Linked DNA regions of Callithrix jacchus. The protein of the gene in region 1 binds, or shares a complex with, the protein of each later gene. Links are inferred from orthologs where the notes say so. Each region holds a gene or a part of one and is shown in the gene's direction. Other genes may lie near its edges.

Region 1 (3,713 bases):
GAGATCGAGACCATCCTGGTCAACAAGGTGAAACCCCGTCTCTACTAAAAATACAAAAATTAGCTGGGCATGGAGGTGCTCACCTGTAGTCCCAGCTACTCGGGAGACTGAGGCAGGAGAATTGCTTGAACCCAGGAGGTGGAGGTTGCGGTGAGCCGAGATCCTGCCATTGCACTCCAGCCTGGGTAACAAGAGCGAAAGTCCGTCTCAAAAAAAAAAAAAAAGGGGGGGCTTATCACAGTACTCTCAATAAATAGCTATTAGCCAGGTGCAGTGGCTCACGTCTGTAATTCCAGCACTGAGAGACCGAGGCGGGAGGATCATTTGAGCCCAGCAGTTCAGAACCAGCCTGGGCAACATGGCGAAACCACATCTCTACAATAAATATAAAAAATTTTCCTGGCGGAGTGATGCACGCTTGTAGTCCCAGCTACCTGGGATGCTGAGCCGGGAGAATCACCTGAGCCCGGAAGGTCGAGGCTGCAGTGAGCCAAGATCTTGCCACTGCACTCCAGCCCTGGTGACAGAGCGAGACCATATCTCAAAAAATAAAAGACTATTTTTAAAATATTGTTTTCATTACCTCAGCCCTCCTCTTCCTATCCCAAGACGTCGAAATTCCGGTCCCACCCCTTCCCATGGGGCCCTTGGCGTCTCCAGAGTCCTCAAGCTAGTTTCGGTTCCTTGGCCCACGCGCGGGTTCTCGAAAATCAGCTGTTTCAGTCTTGGGCTAGTCCACTAATTGGACTCCTCCCCTCGTAGGCAGCGCCTATTTGAGCTTCTCCACCAATCGCTGGAACTGGAGGTGTGGTTTCGGCTCAGCTTGTCCCGCCCCACGGATGGGGCGGAATTGCGGCGGCGCCAATGAGCTAGCAGTCTGGTAAGGACTTGACTGATGGCAGTGTCGGGGTGGTGGCTGGGAAAGGGGCAGCTCCGGACTTCAGGGCCACCTTACAAGGGGACGGATCCGAGGGGGTTGGCCGAACTTGTAGGCGGGGCGGGAGGCTCTAGTACCCGAGATCCCTCTAGGCACGGGAAGTCGCGACCAGAGCCACTGGAGGGCGCGGGGACTGCCACCCCTAATCAGGTACGGGCCCTGAGAGTGTGTGCTGGGGTAGGGGTGGGGGTGAGAGTGAGAATTCCTCCCAGGGAAGGGCGACTGGCCTCAGGGGTTACGTACGCCCTGGAGGGGGCAGCCTCTGTCCCCAGGTTGAAATAGGAGCTGTCGCCGGCTCGGTCTTTGAACTTCTCCTGCCGAGCTTATCTCCCCAACCCTAATGGCCCTCTCCCCAAAGTCCCCTGAAGCTTCCGAGACCCGGAATCTGGCCTTATGTTGATTCGGTAGCTGAACCAAAGTTTTTGCCTCTGCTCCGCATTATGTTTTGTCTTCACCAAAATAAACGATGTCCAAAGATAGATTAACCTGAAACACAAAAACAAAACAAAAAAACAGATAGATGAATCTATCATCTTTATTTGTTTCGTAAAAAAGTATAAGCTCCTGAAAGATAAAACGATTACCTAAGGTCACACACAAAATTCAGTTCATTTCAGAAAAGCTTCTTGAGTGTAAAATATGTGCCTGAGAGTGAGAGATAACGAGAAAAAACTGTCTCAGCCCTTAACCTCAGTGTTTGCAATCCATTTGGGGAGACTAGGTTTTTTGTTTTGTTTTGTTTTAATATTTGAATCTTTGCTTCCTTGTGCGTTTCATACTAAACACTTAAATCCTCAAGAATTGAGACCTCATCATTAAAAAAAAAATTTTTTTTAAGAGATGGAAGCTCACTATGTTGCCTAGGCTGATTTCAAACTCCTAAGCTCAAGCTATCCTCCTGTCTTGTAGGCCTCCCAGAGTGCTGGGATTACAGGCATGAGCCACCACGCATGGCCACCTAATCATTTTTTTAACTTATATTTTTTTGTATCATAACAGCAATACAGTTACATAGTTTTAAAAATCAAGCACTACTAAAAGGTTTAAAATGAAAATAGCCCCTGCACAATCCCTCCTTTCCCTTGTTTCTACTTCCAGAGGTAGAAAGGCAGCTGATGTTATTTATGTTAGAGTACTGTCCTACCCCAAGCATTTCTCTTTACTTTGTAATAAAATCACGTGACCTTTTTAGACCACAAACATGCATAAATTCTGTTCTGTTAGGCTCAGATTGCAACAAGTATAAGTTTCAGTTTCCTAAATAGACACCAGATGTCAACGAACAGGGAAAGATGGGGAGAAAGATGCATGGCACAGCCTGCTTGGTGACAGGCAAACCTGTCTTTGTGACAAGCAAGAAAAAAAAAAACATTTTTTTTTTTTTTTCTGAGACAAAGTCTTGCTCTGTTGCCCAGGCTGGAGTACCGTGCATGAACTCCACTAACTGCAACCTCTGTCTCCTGGGTTCAAGCAATTCTCCTGCCTCAGCCTCTTGAGTAGCTGGGATTAGGCGCCGACCACCAGGCCTTGCTAATTTTTTTGTATTTTTAGTAGAGATGGGGTTTCACCATGTTGGCATGTTGGCCAGACTGGTCTTGAACTTCCGACCTCAAGTGATCCTCCCACCTAGGCCTCTCAAAGTGCTGGGATTACAGGCGTGAGCCACGGCACCTGGCCTAAAAAAACAAATTTACATAAAGTATCAGGATCTCACAAAGTTGATAACCCATAATCATATTCAAGATTCATAGGTCATAAAAGTGTCATATTCTTTTTTTTTTTTGAGATGGAGTTTTGCTTTTGTTACCCAGGCTGGAGTGCAATGGTGCAATCTTGGCTCACCGCAACGTCCACCTCCTGGGTTCAAGCAATTCTCCTGCCTCAGCCTCCCAAGTAGCTGGGACTACAGGCGAACGCCACCACACCCAGCTAATTTTTGCATTTTTAGTAGAGACGGGGTTTCACCTTGTTGACCAGGATGGTCTCGATCCCTTGACCTCATGATCCACCCGCCTCAGCCTCCCAAAGTGCTGGGATGATAGACATGAGCCACCACGCCCAGCCTAAAAGTGTCATATTCTTAGGGATTGAGCAATCCATTGCACAGCATTTAGATGTTTTCTAGAATGGAACTCCTCCTTCCTGTATAGAAGGTGGTTTATAGGGTATACTTACCTGACCTCCAAAAAGATTTAGCTCCTAAAAAAGCTTCAAGTGGCTGCGTGTGGTAGCTCATACCTGTAATCCCAGCACGTTGGGAGGCCGAGGTAGGCAGATCACCTGAGGTCAGAAGTTCAAGACCAGCCTGGACAACATGGTGAAACCCCATCTCTACCAAAAATACAAAAGTTAGGGGGGCATGGTGGCAGCCGCCTGTAAGCCCAGCTACTTACTGTAAGCCACCTATAAGCCCAGCAGAAGAATTGCTTGAACCCAGGAGGCGGAGTTTGCAGCGAGCCGAGATCATGACACTGCACTCCAGCCTGGGTGACAAAGCAAGACTCCGTCTCAGAAAAAAAACAAAAAAGCTTCAGGGCCAGCAGAGATCATGCTGTAAAAAATACTTAATATCAACACTGATCTTTAAATGCTTTAGCATAAGCAAATATAAACAACAAATAAACACATAAATGTAAAATAAATTAATTAGGCAGATAGATGAAATAAGATAGTGGAAATAGCAATGTTAAAGTTGAATGGTGATCCTTGTGGTATTCACTCTAGAGTGTGTTTGAAAATTAGGCCAGGTGTGGTGACTCACGCCTGTAATCCCAGC
Region 2 (3,646 bases), on another chromosome or scaffold:
GGTGCCATGCAGAACTGTACACTCAGTCCCTCTGTGCTCCAGGACTCCCTCAATAATGTGAGCGATGGAGAGGGAATTGGGCAGGCCTGAGAGCAGGACAGTAACTAGAGGGAGAGGTGGGCCAATGAAAGCATCTTCAGAGGCCAAGGTGGGCACATCGTCTGAGGTCAGGAGTTCAAAACCAGCCTTGACCAACATGGTGAAACCTTGTCTCTACTAAAAATCCAAAAATTAGCTGGTCATAGTGACAGCTGCCTGTAATCACAGCTACTCGGGAGACTGAGGCAGGAGAATAGCTTGAACCTGGGATGTGGAGGTTGCCATGAGCCGAGATTGCGCTATTGCACTGCAGCCTGGGTGACAGAGTGAGACTCCGTCTCAAAAAAAAAAGCGAAAAAACACTGTGTCTGCAGGAAGAGGAGGGAGCCAGTGGGGGAGCAGTCCATTCAGACATCGGAAGCAGCAGCAGCAGCAGCAGCCCTGAACCACAGGAAGGTACCACCTGCTTGCCTCTTGTGTCATCCACCATGTCACACACTCTGGCCCAAGACTCCCCAGCCCCACTCTGAATGACCAGTGCCTTTGCTTCCCTTCCAGGTACAGATACAACTGAGGCCCCCTTACAAGGGGATCAGGTGTCCCTGGAGTTTCTACTTCCTCCAGAGCCAGGTACGTGACATTTCTAACTTTCTCCTGTGTTCCTGAGGCCTTCCTCCTTTGATCGTACATGCATTATCTAGTCAGTCAGGGCTTACAGGAAACTGTGACCATCTTATCATAGCCCAAGGCACTTGTTTCTAGGTGGTGAGATTCCACATACCTGGCCAGACTCTAAAAAGCTTGCTTCCCAAAAATACCACCCTATACACTCTCCTGGAAATCCACACTGAGACACTAATTTCTTTGGGCCAAACAGAGCCCCAGTCTCAAGGGACCTTCTTGTAAATGACAGGACCCTGGGCATTAAGCCCTGAGGCCTCATGGTGAATCACTCAGTAGTACTAGCTACTTGCCTGAGTGATGGGAAAACCTGAGGGGAAGCCCCCTGGCCAGTGAGGGGAGGGGAGTGGAGATGTTCCCCTGGGGAGGGGCTACCACCAGCCTGCATGCTCCTCCAGCACCAGGTACAGCTAGACTGTTCTATCCCCAGACTACTCACTGCTGCTCACCTTCATCTACAACGGGCGCGTGGTGGGCGAGGCCCAGGTGCAAAGCCTGGACTGCCGCCTCGTGGCTGAGCCCTCAGGCTCTGAGAGCAGCATGGAGCAGGTGTTATTCCCCAAGCCTGGCCCACTGGAGCCCACGCAGCGCCTACTGAGTCAGCTTGAGAGGGGCATCCTGGTGGCCAGCAACCCCCGAGGCCTCTTCGTGCAGCGCCTTTGCCCCATCCCCATCTCCTGGAATGCACCCCAGGCTCCACCTGGGCCAGGCCCACATCTGCTGCCCAGCAACGAGTGTGTGGAGCTCTTCAGAACTGCCTACTTCTGCAGAGGTGAGGATGCTCTCACTGGGCACCTGAGCTCCTATCTTAGTACCCCCCGGGCCCAACTTGGTGGGTCCTGCCACCACCCTGTTTGCCAGCAGATCTTCCATGTAGCCTATGCATGGCACTCCTGCACTTGTGTGGTGCACATCGTGTTTGGCCATATGCCCAGCCTGGCAGCTATATGGCAGCTCTTCTCCAGCCAAGACAGTGGAAGAGGAGGTTCAGGTAGAGCTCAGCACAAGAGTGTCACATCTTGGGGAACACCATCACACTGAAGCGTGCAGTCATTATGTGAAGGTGCACAGAAGAATTGGCACAGAGTGAGCCTCATGGCCTTGTCCTATGTACACACATTTGGGAGAGCTGGCACACATCATACCTCTGGCTCTGGCTGCATCATCTCTACTATACTCCAGGAATGCCCTAGGGTTGCCCCCCTCTCCTATCCAGTTCCAGTTCCTACTCAATTCTAAATCTGACTTAAGAGTGGGGCCAGGAGTACAGGGGGTATAGAGTGTGGGTGTTCCCAGGGCCATGGGTACCCTAGCACTGAGAGGGTATGAGCAAGCAGCAAAAGTCTGGGCACATCTGTGTTAGCAGCCAGGGCTGCGGCCTGGGAGGACTCTTAAACTCTCTCAGCAGAGAGAGCTTTTCAGGTTGTGCAGTGATCTGCTACTTCTAACACTTATTTGAGGCAGGGGCACCCTTTCCCGTTTGCACATGGGTGAGTAGCATTTAGTTCCGAGCACTTCTCCTGACCTTGCAGCTCCTGCTCTGGCCTGGGGCTCCATGTGGACCCCCCCTCCTAACTATCTCCATCATGGGTTCCTCACTATTGCCTCCCAACCTGTGGCCCTCTCTCTTGTTTTTCTCCTTCCAACCCTTGACCCTTTCTCTTTCAGACTTGGCCAGGTACTTCCAGGGCCTGGGCCCCCCACCCAAGTTCCAGGTAACACTGAATTTCTGGGAGGAGAGCTGTGGCCCCAGCCATACTCCACAGAATCTTATCACAGTGAAGGTGAGCTCAGAGCAGGGGCAGAGTAGCCTATCTAATGAGAGTAGGGGCAGTGGTGGTCCAGGAGGTGAAGGGGGTCTCCCAGTGGGGAAGGAGCTCCTGGGGGTGGTGTCTGTCCCTGATGCACTCACTGAGACGCTCTTCTCCATCTCTTCCAATACAGATGGAGCAGGCTTTTGCCCGACACTTACTGGAGGAGACTCCAGAGCAGCAGGCAGCCATTCTGTCCCTGGTGTAGAGCCTGGGGAGCCCATCTTCCACCTCACTTCTTTGTTCTGCCTGTCTCCTTTGAAATAGACTCATTCTTCACATGATTGACCTGTCCTCCTCGTGATAATTCTCAGTGGTTGTCTGTGATAGTTGTGTCCTTAAAATCCTCGCACACACTGGCTGGTGGAGAACTCAAGGCTAATATTTTGTCCTTTCTTTTTTTAAATTTTTTATTTTTTGGATTTTGAGATACACACCTTCTTTCATGTGTAAGGGACTGAGAAATTCAAACGGTGTGAACCCAGGGATCTTTCCCTCTTTCCTGACCTCCCAACTCTAAAGCCAAGCACTTTATATTTTCCTCTTAGTTATTCACTAAGGATTTAAAATAAAATTTTATTGAAAGAGGAATCAGTATCTGATTTTTCTGGGAGACAGAGATGTAAACTTATGAGCAGGACACTGGGGTTTTCTTCCTTCTGACATCTTCAAAGCTCTTTCCTCTCCTCTGCCCACAGGTTCTGGCTAAGATGCTGTCTGGGCCCTGTGGGTCCTGGGCCTGGCACTCTGCAGAGGTACTCTCTAGGCAGCCATGATTAGGGAGAGGGTTGGGATTGGCCATTGAAAGGGCACCGAGCCTTCAGCCAGGCACTATAGCCACCAACTTCTCATGGTAGTCTGGGCTCCACAGTTCTTGCTAAGAGCACCAACATCGGGCCTGGGGTTAGACTAGAAGTCTGAAGAGGAGACACTTGAGGGTGACCCAAAACTGTTCTAGAGGCCCTGGGGCCTGAGAATAGAGGAGTCAGAAGAGTTGCTAAACCTGTACCTGCTGTTCCTGGCACCCCTTCCCCCAGCACAAATTGTGCTGTCACCCCAGCAGGGTACTCCCAAACTGGATTCCTTGCTCTAAGTCCCATAAAAGATACTCCAGC

The links.
Region 2: the proteins of STAT2 (region 1) and IRF9 are in contact, whole or in part, in a crystal structure (PDB 5OEN), measured with the Mus musculus proteins. The link is inferred for Callithrix jacchus from reciprocal best matches to the Homo sapiens genes STAT2 and IRF9. Residues at the interface, in NP_064347.1 of Mus musculus: Arg163, Gln164, Lys166, Asp167, Glu168, Asp170, Val171, Phe174, Arg175, Thr177, Val178, Phe179, Leu181, Lys182, Asp188, His190, Gln191, Gln193, Gln194, Leu197, Thr201, Lys204, Met208; in NP_032420.1 of Mus musculus: Leu206, Leu208, Tyr212, Leu233, Asp234, Arg236, Ser244, Glu245, Ser246, Ser247, Met248, Asp270, Arg271, Leu274, Val275, Ala276, Asn278, Ser279, Arg280, Phe283, Val284, Gln285, Leu287, Cys313, Glu315.

The regions. Positions count from the first base shown.
Region 1 is NC_133510.1:63,281,329-63,285,041, forward strand, and holds the start of STAT2 (signal transducer and activator of transcription 2), read left to right. Parts: upstream 1-852; 5' UTR 853-880; exon of another isoform or gene 881-1,087; intron 1,088-3,713. UniProt on the Homo sapiens protein: Signal transducer and activator of transcription that mediates signaling by type I interferons (IFN-alpha and IFN-beta).
Region 2 is NC_133509.1:58,471,813-58,475,458, forward strand, and holds the end of IRF9 (interferon regulatory factor 9), read left to right. Parts: coding exon 1-57; intron 58-352; coding exon of another isoform or gene 353-413; coding exon 414-495; intron 496-597; coding exon 598-669; intron 670-1,150; coding exon 1,151-1,492; intron 1,493-2,388; coding exon 2,389-2,504; intron 2,505-2,664; coding exon 2,665-2,739; 3' UTR 2,740-3,122; downstream 3,123-3,646.